Linked DNA regions of Sus scrofa. The protein of the gene in region 2 interacts with the protein of the main gene of each other region in a biochemical or structural test. Links are inferred from orthologs where the notes say so. Each region holds a gene or a part of one and is shown on either strand. Other genes may lie near its edges. The genes, in order: CREBBP, ATF4 and CREBZF.

What was found.
Region 1: the proteins of ATF4 (region 2) and CREBBP form a complex in vitro, tested with the Homo sapiens proteins (2 studies listed by BioGRID). The link is inferred for Sus scrofa from reciprocal best matches to the Homo sapiens genes ATF4 and CREBBP.
Region 3: the proteins of ATF4 (region 2) and CREBZF form a complex in vitro, tested with the Homo sapiens proteins (2 studies listed by IntAct, with this or other methods). The link is inferred for Sus scrofa from reciprocal best matches to the Homo sapiens genes ATF4 and CREBZF.

What each region holds. Positions count from the first base shown.
Region 1 is NC_010445.4:38,482,359-38,485,987, forward strand, and holds part of CREBBP (CREB-binding protein), read left to right. Parts: intron 1-821; coding exon 822-924; intron 925-1,189; coding exon 1,190-1,336; intron 1,337-2,421; coding exon 2,422-2,539; intron 2,540-3,225; coding exon 3,226-3,397; intron 3,398-3,629. UniProt on the Homo sapiens protein: Acetylates histones, giving a specific tag for transcriptional activation. Mediates acetylation of histone H3 at 'Lys-18' and 'Lys-27' (H3K18ac and H3K27ac, respectively).
Region 2 is NC_010447.5:8,742,863-8,747,096, reverse strand, and holds ATF4 (cyclic AMP-dependent transcription factor ATF-4), read left to right. Parts: upstream 1-1,344; 5' UTR 1,345-2,243; intron 2,244-2,815; 5' UTR 2,816-2,907; coding exon 2,908-3,133; intron 3,134-3,229; coding exon 3,230-4,089; 3' UTR 4,090-4,133; downstream 4,134-4,234. UniProt on the Homo sapiens protein: Transcription factor that binds the cAMP response element (CRE) (consensus: 5'-GTGACGT[AC][AG]-3') and displays two biological functions, as regulator of metabolic and redox processes under normal cellular conditions, and as master transcription factor during integrated stress response (ISR).
Region 3 is NC_010451.4:19,592,239-19,596,409, reverse strand, and holds the start of CREBZF (CREB/ATF bZIP transcription factor), read left to right. Parts: upstream 1-1,295; 5' UTR 1,296-1,608; coding exon 1,609-2,669; coding exon of another isoform or gene 2,670-2,673; exon of another isoform or gene 2,674-2,886; coding exon 2,887-2,902; 3' UTR 2,903-2,964; intron 2,965-4,037; 3' UTR 4,038-4,106; exon of another isoform or gene 4,107-4,171.

The DNA.
Region 1 (3,629 bases), on a different chromosome or scaffold from region 2:
TTGCTAACTGGGCGACTGGGTTGGAGTCCCGGAACCTGGGTACCAGTCTGACCCCACCTCTGCTGATGGCCTGATCGGGACTAGACTGTGCACCTCGCTTTGTCTCAACTTCCTCTTCCTTCACGGTGGATATTGTAGACAAATCGACCTTTTATGTTCTTTGCCTGCACTTAATCTCTATGATTTTATTTTCTGATATGCAAACAAAACCCAAAATATGACAGAAATATGTAAGAGGTCAGTTTACTTGTTTCAATCATGATATTAATGAAGCCAGAATCAAAATGTGAAGCTACAAATGGGTCATTTCTAATTTCTTTTTCCACAGTCATAGAGTACTCATGAGACCAGCTAGCCTCCATAACAATGCCTCGTTTTAGCTGTAAAGTGTCGTGGGAAGGGATCTGCCTGTGAGGTTAACAATTCAATCGCCATTTTTCTGGAACTCCCAGAATTCCTGCCATGGGGTTTATTATTAAAACTCATAAGAATCACTTACTTAAAAAAACAAAGAGTTCCTGTCATGGCGCATCGGAAACGAATCCGACTAGGAACCATGAGGTTGTGGGTTCGATCCCTGGCCTCGCTCAGTGGGTTCAGGATCCGGTGTTGCCGTGAGCTGTGGTGTAGGCCGGCAGCTATAGCGCCGATTAGACCCTTAGCCTGGGAACTTCCATATGCTACGGGTGTGGCCTTAAAAAGACAAAAGACGAAAAAAGAATCACTTATTTATATGTGACTTATTATTTATGTTATCGGGACTTTGATGTGTATATGAGAATTTAGGAGTGTGTTGATTTCTTTTCTTTTTCTCTTTAAAGGAAATAACCCAATGAACATTCCAGCAGGCGGAATAACAACAGATCAGCAGCCACCAAGCTTGATTTCAGAATCAGCTCTTCCAACTTCCCTTGGGGCCACCAAGTAAGACATTTGTTTCAGTTGCCTCCTATCTGAGCGACAGTCAGACATGCAAGTGTGTGAACTCTTGAGTCTTTCTAAATGTGGGGCAGGGGCTATAGTTGGGGCCAGGGAGGGGCCGTCTCCCGTCTCCCTCTGTTCCCTGCTTCCCCCACCCCCCGTCCCCCCGTCCTCCCGTCCTTTCCGTCTTGCCTGTAGAAGAGGTAGTGACGTTGAAAGCCACATGTGGTTGAAGGGCCTGGTCGGCTGAGAGCCCTTCTTCCCTCAGCCCCCTGATGAGCGACGGCGCCACCTCTGGGAACATCGGACCCCTCAGCACTCTACCCTCCGCAGCACCTCCTTCCAGCACTGGCGTTCGGAAAGGCTGGCACGAACACGTCACTCAGGACCTGCGCAGCCATCTAGTACACAAACTGTACGTGGCCACCTCCCGCGTCGTTCACGTGGGATGGAGACATTCTGAGGCCGAGGTGATGGGGCAGTTGAGCGGTTGCGTTGATGTCTGCTTCGGTTCCTTCGTGGTCTCCTGGGCCCCTGGTGATCGTACCCTGGCAGCCAAAGGGAACCACGTGCCTGTTGAGGGGCCGGAGGATCCCACAGACCCTGGGTGGTGTCAGAGCGTCTGCAGCTCTGCCCCGCAGAGGGCCAGACCTGTTTTCTATGCCCCGGCTGCACCAGGGAGCTGGAATTAGCTCAGAAGCATTGCTTTATTTTGTGGCTCAAGATCACAGTTGAGGAGACCCCAGAGAACTGGAGGAATTTGGGCTTCGTCAGTACAAATGGTTTGATAATGCTGTCATGCATGTAACATACAAGAAATTAACAGCTAACTTTCTCCAGCTAGTTAAGTTAAATTGAAGGGGAGATTAATCGACTGGCATTGGAGGGGTTTTTTTCCTTCATTAATTTCATCAAAAAATTTTGGGTTAGAAAAAGGGGGGGGACCACCATATGCCACAGGTGTGGCCCTTAAAGACAGAAAAAAAAATTGCTAATAAATCGTTTAAATATTAGGAATTCAAAATCTTTTTTGGTTTTTTGTCACTGCTCCCGGGGTATATGGAGGTTCCCAGGCTAGGGGTCTAATCAGAGCTGTAGCCACCGGCCTACACCAAAGCCACAGCAACACAGGATCTGGCCTATATCACAGCTCACGGCAACGCCAGATCCTTAACCCACTGAGCGAGGCCAGGGCTCAAACCTGCAACCTCAAGGTTCCTAGTTGGATTCACTTCCGCTGCGCCACAACGGGAACCCCGAAATCATGTTATTCTTGAGATGATGAAGTACTTACTGTTAATAGTAAGATACTGGTGTGTTTGACGTGTAGAGAAGTTAACAGGTCAGGATTCTCTCCAGAGTGACCTCACTGATGTCTTCATATACCGGGCAAGAGGAATTTGGGGATGTCGCTTGGCAGTGTACTGCCACAGAGGCGGTTGGTTGGTTCTCTTTCCATGCCGCTCAGAATGGTAGAAACTGACCCCATTGTCCTTTCAGCGTCCAAGCCATCTTCCCGACCCCTGACCCCGCAGCCCTGAAGGATCGCCGCATGGAGAACCTGGTGGCCTATGCGAAGAAGGTGGAAGGGGACATGTACGAGTCTGCCAACAGCAGGGTAGGTTGCCTTTGGGTCCCGGCACCTGTGGGAGCCGCGGCTGCACCTGTCCAGAAACAGGGACGTCTGTTCGTCTGGGAGACGCGTCACTTGAGGACACTGACCGGGGAGTCTTCTCAGTTAAGACATGAGGTCCCTCCCTGCACAGCTCTTGTCTTGTAACTACCGACTACTGATGTCTCCCCTGCAATAGATAAAACTGCTTTTTCTTTTTTCTTTTCTGTCCTTGGTTGGTTGGTTGGTTTGGCTCCACCCATGGCACAGGGAATTCCCAGGGCAGGGATCAGATCTGAGCCACAGTTGCGACCTAAGCCGCAGCCGTGGCAACACTGGATCCTTTGACCCACTGTGCCAGTTCTGGCGCTGCAGAGACGCCACCCTCCTGGTATGCCATGGCAGGAACTCTGATGAAGTCGTTTTTATCTGTGCATTTACTTGGTGGCGGCCTTGGTTACAGTGCTTGTCCTGTGTCATTGCCGGCGCGAATCCAAGAAGAGGTTCAGCTGTGGACTCACCTGTGATGAGTACCTCGTCCCTGCTGCCTCATACATGCTGTCCCATCCCTGGGTGCTCATGCTCACCTGCGCCAGTGTGCTCAATTGAAACGATCGTCAGTTGGTCAGAACACACGCACGCGCGCAGAGCTTCTTTGTAACGAGTAACTAGTGTGGAGGTTTGCTTTTCAGGATGAGTACTATCACTTATTAGCAGAGAAAATCTACAAGATACAAAAGGAACTAGAAGAAAAACGGAGGTCACGTTTACACAAACAAGGCATCTTGGGGAACCAGCCCGCCTTACCAGCCCCTGGGACGCAGCCCCCTGGCATACCACAGGCCCAGCCCGTGAGACCGCCAAGTAAGGACTGCCTTTCTGGCTCTCCGTCTGCCTCCCCGCTTCTCCTTCTGCATCTGGGATGATTTCTGAGCATGTGGAATCATGTTCCCAGGAAGCCTGTGCTTAGAAAATTGTGGGGGTGGCCGTGGCATGGCCGAGGCCATGGCCTGTGTTTAGAAGTTGAGTCCCCCTGGTGGATGGGCCTCGAAAGGGTGTGCCAGCGTCAGGCTGCTCGGTGCTCTTGCCCCTGTTG
Region 2 (4,234 bases):
ACATGCCCCGTGGCTCCTTAATGACACCTTTGGAAGACTTGGGTAGTGGCTCGGGGGTAGTGGCTCGGGATTCTTACTGTCTTTGCACCAAAAGACCAGATGCCTTGTACATGTTTCCAGAGAATTGAGATTCCCCAAGGGGAAAGAAAAACCATACCTAGTATCCAGTATGCTTTCCTAGACCAGCTGTTTATAGTTGTTGATTTCATCTCAGTAAATAACAGTCCTCTGAGGGAGCAGGATATGATGGGGATGGGAGGTGGGTTAGAAGACCTGCGTTCTAGTCACAGGAGTAATGGCAACCATTTATCCAGCACTTACCAGGTACCAGGCGCACGGCTCAGTGCTGTGAATATATTATCTTAACTTCATTCTAAGGATGAGGATACCCATCATTAGCCTCGTTTTACAGATCAGGAAACGAAGACTCAGTGGGGGTAAGTCACTTAACCAGAATGTCTCCACTAATAAATGGGAAAGCCAAGATTTTTTGGAATTGGCCCTTAAATCTGTCATAACTCCTACCCCATACTGCCCACACCAGGCAAGACATGTCATGCCTTTAGTCATCAGCTTACCACTGTAAAGAAATGGTTGGGCTAGACTGACTCAAATCAATGAATGGTTAGTTGTTATGTAGGAAGTGCCTGACCAATTTTTGACCTCACTGTCCTCATAGAAATAATATTTGTAGGGCCCACTGAAATGAAGGGGAGTGGAAACTCAAGGTTTCCCTACAGGGCCTGATTGGAGGACTGGAAGATGGTGAAAGAGCTTTCTCCTAGCTCTTGACAGTTCCCCAGTAGAGAGGGCAAGTTACTGGCCCTAACCTGGACTGTGGCCTCCAAACACACAAATTCCCCTAAGTGGGCAGGTCTGATCAAGCACCCAGGCAGTAGGACTTGCTGGGAAGTGGTTATGCCGCGGAGTTACAGAGTTGGTAAATAATTGAAACTACCCTAGAGTGAGAAAGAGCAGCTAAATAAAATACCTCATTTTTAGGGGAAGTGAAACTACATAAACTGAAAGAAGTTCCCCTGTCATAGGTTTCATTCTTTAACATAAAAGGAAACTTGTATTTTAGCAGAATGGATATGTAAAAATACAATTGTTTAGACCACAGGATTATGGATTTCCTCCACTCGACTCGCCTCTACAGAGTTGAGTCAGGACGCAGAGCAGGCCTTTGATGGTAGGTGGATCTCAGCTGAGGTCATCAGTCTCCCCTTCCAGTTACTGAAGGGTTCACACGTCCTCAGTATTCTGCAAGTGTGTGCAAGTGAAAACAGACGAAATAACATTTACTCTTGACTAGTTTCACATTCGGGCCTAAACCCGGTCCCTAGTTCGGAGCTTCTCCAAGGGCGGCAGGAAAGGACCACGAGGATTCGGACCTAACGCCACTATTTGGATCTGGGCCAGGGCTGCCCGGGGCAATCAAGGCCAGCTGGGTGGGCGGGGCTGAGGGAGCCTTTGCAGAGCGGCGCTACGGCGAGCAGGACGCCGGGGCCCGGCGGCGGGAACCTCACCCACCTTCCCGCGCAGATCAGGGGCTCCCTCGCTGAACAACCCGCCCGCCTCGGAGCCTGAGCCAATAGAAACTCGATGTATATATGACTCACCATGCCTAACCAATCATTTCGACGCGCGCTCTCCGCCAGTAGCTCGCGCGATAACCAGGAGACCTCGTACTTCACAATAAAAGCCCTTCTTGGGGTGAAAGACTCGTCTCCGCCTCTCGGGCTAGCACCGGAAGTAGCTGTGCAAGATCCTTCCGCGCATCCCGGCAGCGGACGGTGGTGATCCTTAGATCTCAAAAGCCTTGTAAAGTAGTGCGCCCTTTTTTGAGGCTGTAAATAAAAGTAACTCATTTGGTCCTCACAGTTTCGCCCTCGACATAAAAGTCAGAGACTGGAAATGGTAGGGGCGTCGGTTAAATGAAAGCGCGTGGGTGGGAGGCGCTGGTCACGTGACCTAGGCGGAAGAATATTCTCTGTGATGCGTCCCACAGAGGCAGAGTCTATAAAGGACCCGCGCTCGGCGAACCGCCGCCATTTCTTTTCCTCTCCGCTGTAGATGTAGTCCTTTTCTGCGAGTGGGCGCTTTTCTTCCTCCGCTCCCGCAGGGTCCGCGGCCGCCATGGCGTATTAGAGGCAGCAGTGCCTGCGGCAGCATTGGCCTTTGCAGCGGCGGCAGCAGCACCAGGCTCTGCAGCGGCACCCCCCAGCGGCTTAAGCCATGGCGTAAGTACCGGGGCCCGACGCTCTGGGCCGTGTCCCCCCGGGTCGGTGAAGGGTTCTTGTCTGATGCTGGGGCGCGGTCCGGCGGCGTCGCGGAGGGGGAAGCGGTTTTACGAGCGCCCGGGACGCGTGGCCGCTGATGGGGTGACGCCGAAGCGCCAGCGCCCCTGGGTCGAGAGGCCGCTGCGCTGTTCGGGCGTGGGGCGAAGTCCTCGGTACCTCCGGCCCCGGCCGGGGGGCCGGGGCTCCCCCTGGGGCTCCACGAAACGTGGCAGCAGCCAAGATGGCGGCGGGGCAGGGCGGCGGCCGCGGCGTGAGTCACGGGCGGGCGTGGGCGGGGCCGGACTCGGCCGGGAGGACCGGGCGCCTTCCTCTGGTGGCGGGTCGGGGAACGGCCGGGCGTCCATCTTGCGCCGCCAGGCGGACGCGGGGAAGGTTGGCAGCCGGGGCCAGCGGCCCCCAAGTCTCAACAACCACACGGGGTCGGGATTTGGCCGTCCTGCCCCGGGGGTGGAGAGGCGAAAGGCTCAGACCAGCTGTTCTCTAATGGGGCTTGGTTTCTGGTTCCTGTTAAGGCTTCTCACGGCATTCAGCAGCAGCGTTGCTGTAACCGACAAAGACACCTTCGAATTAAGCACATTCCTCGATTCCATCAAAACTCCGCAACATGGCCGAGATGAGCTTCCTGAGCAGCGAGGTGTTGGTGGGGGACTTGATGTCCCCCTTCGACCCGTCGGGTTTGGGGGCTGAAGAGAGCTTAGGGCTCTTAGACGAATATCTGGAGGTGGCCAAGCACTTCAAACCTCATGGGTTCTCCGGCGACAAAGCTAAGGCGGGCTCCTCCGAATGGCTGGCTGTGGATGGGTTGGTCAGTGCCTCAGACAACAGCAAGGGTGAGTGGGCTTTTCCCTGCCGGTGGGGTCTGGTGATAAAGCCTTGCTGCCGCGTGCATCTGACTCTGGGTTCCGTCCCTCTTAAATCTCTTGCAGAGGATGCTTTCTCCGGGACAGACTGGATGGTGGAGAAAATGGATCTGAAGGAGTTCGACTTCGATGCCCTGTTGGGTATAGATGACCTGGAAACCATGCCAGATGAGCTTTTGGCCACGTTGGATGACACATGTGATCTCTTTGACCCCCCACTCCAGGAGCCCCCGCAGATAGTGAACCCAATTGGCCATCTCCCAGAAAGTTTACCAACAACTGACCAGGTTGCCCCCTTTACGTTCTTGCAAACTCTTCCCCTTTCCCCAGGGGCCCTGTCTTCCACTCCAGATAATTCCTTTAGTTTAGAGATACAGGGTGAAGTGGAAATCTCGGAAGGAGATAGGAAGCCAGACTCCACTACTTACATTACCTTGATTCCTCAATGCATAAAGGAAGAGGATGCCCCCTCAGATAATGACAGTGGCATCTGTATGAGCCCTGACTCCTATCTGGGCTCTCCCCAGCACAGTCCCTCCACCTCCAGGGCCTCTCCAAGTAGGAGCTTGCTCTCTCCCGGGGCCCCTTGTGGTTCTGTCCGGCCCAAACCCTATGATCCTCCTGGAGAGAAGGTGGTAGCAGCAAAAGTAAAGGGTGAGAAACTAGATAAGAAGCTGAAGAAGATGGAGCAGAACAAGACAGCAGCCACTCGGTACCGCCAGAAGAAGAGGGCAGAGCAGGAGGCCCTCACTGGCGAATGTAAAGAGCTGGAAAAGAAGAACGAAGCTCTGAAAGAGAAGGCAGATTCCTTGGCCAAGGAGATTCAGTATCTCAAAGATCTGATAGAAGAGGTCCGCAAGGCACGGGGAAGAAACGCGCCCCCTAGCTGCCGGGCAGGGGTGTGCATGTGCTTGTACATAGGCTAGGGCTTTAGCTGTGTGTTGCAATAAATTATTTTGTAGTGAACGTACTGCTGATGACTGATTTCTTCAGATAAATGTTCCAGTCAATCCCCCCTGGAGCCACTTTTCTCACCAGGGTCAGAAGTAAAGTGCAAACGCTCCGTAATTC
Region 3 (4,171 bases), on a different chromosome or scaffold from region 2:
ATTGACAACGTTCCCAACTGGGGCAGAAATAGCTGCTCCCTGTCAGGCCTGTTTGGCCACCCTATACTGAGAGGCATTCTTGATCACCCAGCCTAATGCCCCTCCTCTAGTTCTTCCAGTTACTTTGTAAGCACCTTCTCTCCATTACATCTTTTTCTGCTTAAAATACTTGAATTGGTTTCTATTTCCTACAACTGAGTATAACCTGGTAAGAACATCCATCTCAAATCAACAGCTAGACACTACAGGTGTTCCTGTTCAAGTTAGGAATAAGACACAGAAGTTAGTTATTAAAAGCATTATTTAACATCAATTTGGAAGTGCTATTTCATTATTAGTCAGTACAATGAAGTGAGTATTGCAAAGAAGATGGCAAAATTGTCATTATGTACAATAAGGTGATATGATTGTCTACCAGGGAAATTTGAATGAATAAGCTAAAAATAAAAACTATCAAGGAAGTTCAGTGGGTGAATCAGTTAAGAATTTAACAAAAAAAATCAACAGCTTTCCTATGTAGCAATGATAACCATTTAGAAAATATAAAAGAAGAAATAATCTAGTCTAGTAGCAAAAAATGCATAAAGTAACTGGGAAAAATAAATTAATAAATTTAATGCAACTTCCACGAAAATTCCAGCTTATTTTTGAACTTGGAAAATGTTATAAAGTTATCTGGAAGAATTAATGTTCAAATATAGATGAAAAATTCTGAGAAAGTATGAAATTCTGGGAGTATGTCTTATCTGCAACTTTGGGATGATTCTGCAAAAAAGAAAAATTGTTTTTACCAACCTTTACATACAGATAAAGCACATTTGACAAAAGGACAATTGTTGAACTGTTAAGTCTGAGTATTGGGTAGTAGTGTTCAATTAGAGTATATACTGCAATATTCTTTTACATACATATTCACATATTGTATATTTGGAAATTTTTAAAATAAAAACTTGGAAAAATTAAATTATATATGAAAGACTTATTTACCTCTCTTTTCTTCCAGTATTCTGTGTTTGAAAAAAATCACATGTTATAACGAAAGGAGAAAAGAATAATTTTCAAGAAGAATCTGATCATCAGGATAATTTTAAATTCATAAATTTGGTGTATCTAAAAGATCATTTCGAATGACAGTGGTTTTACTGCAGATGGAAGCTAGAATACAGGGACTGAGACTTGAGGGCCCAGAGGAGTGGCCACTCCTTAGATAAATCCTAGGTTTGTTGTTATTTTTGCCTCTGTTACTATGACATCACTGGAAATCTGGAGTTACTCCTACTCTCGACCTCACAGAACTCTCGCGATACCAGGCCCTGGTGGAGCGGGAAATGTGGTGGGAGGGGCCGGGCCGAGATCGACCGACTTCCGGCCAGGCCGTTGTCTGGGTGGCGCGGTCGAGTCATCGTTGGGCCTCGCCGCTCCGATCTCCCGTCCCTCCCCCCCCGCCGCAGCGCGGGGGGTCGACCAGCCAAGTGGGGGCGGGAGGTGACTCCGACCTTCCCCTTCACTTCGTTCTGGCCTGCACCCCGGCAACCTGCTCTGGGTCCTTGGGACCCGCGAGGCCCGGTCTGAGGGGCCGGGGCCTACGTGGGCCCGCTGCCGGGCCCCATGAGGCATAGCCTGACCAAACTGCTGGCGGCCTCGGGCAGCGACTCCCCAACCCGCAGCGAGAGCCCGGCGCCGGCCGCGACCTTCTCGCTGCCCCCGGACCTGAGCCGGGCGGCGGCGGAGGACGAGGGGACGGCGGCGGCCGGATCTCCTGGCCGCAAACAGCCTCGCGGAAACGAGGGCGAGTCGGAGGCCGGGAGGGGGGGCCGCGGCGGCGTGGCCGTGCGCGCGCCCTCGCCCGAGGAGATGGAGGAGGAGGCGGTCGCCAGCGTCCCCGGGGACGAAACGGAGGACATGGACTTTCTGTCCGGGCTGGAACTGGCGGATCTGCTGGACCCCCGGCAGCCAGACTGGCACCTGGAGCCCGGGCTCAGCTCGCCCGGGCCTCTCTCCTCGTCCGGCGGAGGCTCGGAGAGCGGTGGCCTGTGGCGAGGGGACGACGACGACGAGGCCGCGGCCGCTGAGATGCAGCGCTTTTCTGACCTGCTGCAGAGGCTGCTAAACGGCATCGGCGGCTGCAGCAGCGGCAGTGACACTGGCGGCGGCGAAAAGAGGCGGAGAAAGTCCCCCGGAGGCGGCGGCGGCAGCAGCGGCGGCAACGACAACAACCAGGCGGCGACAAAGAGTCCCCGGAAGGCGGCGGCGGCGGCCGCTCGTCTGAATCGGCTGAAGAAGAAGGAGTACGTGATGGGGCTGGAGAGCCGAGTCCGGGGTCTGGCAGCCGAGAACCAGGAGCTGCGGGCCGAGAATCGGGAGCTGGGCAAGCGCGTCCAAGCACTGCAGGAGGAGAGTCGCTACCTACGGGCCGTCTTAGCCAACGAGACCGGACTGGCTCGCTTGCTGAGCCGGCTGAGCGGCGTGGGACTGCGGCTGACCACCTCGCTCTTCAGAGACTCGCCCGCCGGGGACCATGACTACGCGCTGCCGGTGGGAAAGCAGCAGCAGGACCTGCTGGAAGAGGACGACTCAGCCGGAGGAGTGTGTCTTCATGTGGACAAGGATAAGGTGTCGGTGGAGTTCTGCTCAGCGTGCGCCCGGAAGGCGTCGTCTTCTCTTAAAATGTAGGGTCAAGTAATCTGCTCTTTATCCGCGTTTACCCCTTTCAACTCCCTTACACCATGTAAAACACCTTAGTGGGACATCTTCACTGGACACATTTCAGAGGAGGAAAAAAAAAAAAAAGTAATATTGAATCTTTAAGTGTTTAGCTAAAAGCATGAATGTGACACTGTAACCAACTCCTAATGATAACATGTGACTATTAAATCTCTCTGACAGTTTCTTTTTTAGGTGATTTCCTTCCTGCCAGGCTCCGTTGTAGGGGTTACAGAACAGTCGTTCCCGCCTCACAACCTGGTAAGGATCCATCTCTTCACGTAACGCTCATGCTCTGCTGCTTAGTCTACTTTAATGGGCAACATCTCAATTCGTGTGTGTGTGTGTGATTTTTTTTTTTTTTCTTTTTTGGAAGGTGGGAGGGGAATCTAATTTGGGCCCTGTCCACCCTGGAAACAGACTTGTGCTGGTCAGTAATGTATTCAAGATGCTTCTTCTGGTTGAAATAGCTGTTAATGTGTCCCCTTGTTCAGACTTGCGTGTACCTAGCTCTTCTGTCCCCAGTGTGGACATGGCCTTGGATGACATCGGTTCCAACTGTACACTGAAAGCTGCTAATAGAGATACAGTTTGGAGACAGTGACACAGGTGAAGTTGAATGGAAGTTCCGAGTTGTACAAGGTGCAAATTGGAATTCCAATTTTAGAGCAACTTTTCAGAGGTTGACAATAAGTACTTGGGGCATGCACAAATGTGATAGTTATTTTGCCGGAGATAACAGAAATCTCTTGAATAATCAAGAATGCCTTTTAGTTTTCTTAGGTCTAGACATACAGTCTATTCAGATTATAGGTTTTTATATCACCATTAGAGAAATTGGAAATTAATGTGCACATCAGACTCCTGTGTTGGTTAATTGAAGGGGGAATAAGCATGGTCAATGGAATGTCTCTTTGAGGACCAGCACAGTGATTATCCTATCACTGAGTATGAATAAATTGTTGAACACCTTTATTTTTGTTGTACTAAAATTTTAGGTTAAATTTATGTATGATTAGCTATTGACGGTTATGAAATGTGAATGAAAACGTGTAAAGTGAGGTTTCACAAAGAATCTTATTTTCCATATTTTAAGTCTTTGACCTATTTAAAAATAAGTTTTGAAATTGAGTGGTTCTGGCTACCTAATGACACAATTGACACTTTTCCCAAAGTTGGGACATAGTCTTCCCTTGAAGTACTCTATTGTCCAGTTGTATGGATTGAGTCACCATGTCCTTCAGTGTAAGAGGCATTAAGAAATTCTTTGTGAAACATCACTGTTTGATAAAGTATATACGTATTTAGCATCCTTGTTTTTCTTTGTGCTAAAGTGGATACAGCTGTTGGGGCAGAAGAGACGGGACCAGCTGCTGGCCACATTTCCTGCTTTATTTTAAAAGGTAGTATAAGAAATGAGGAAAAAGAGGTAATGTCAGGGCTTCTGCTTTTATTTTAAAATGTTCAT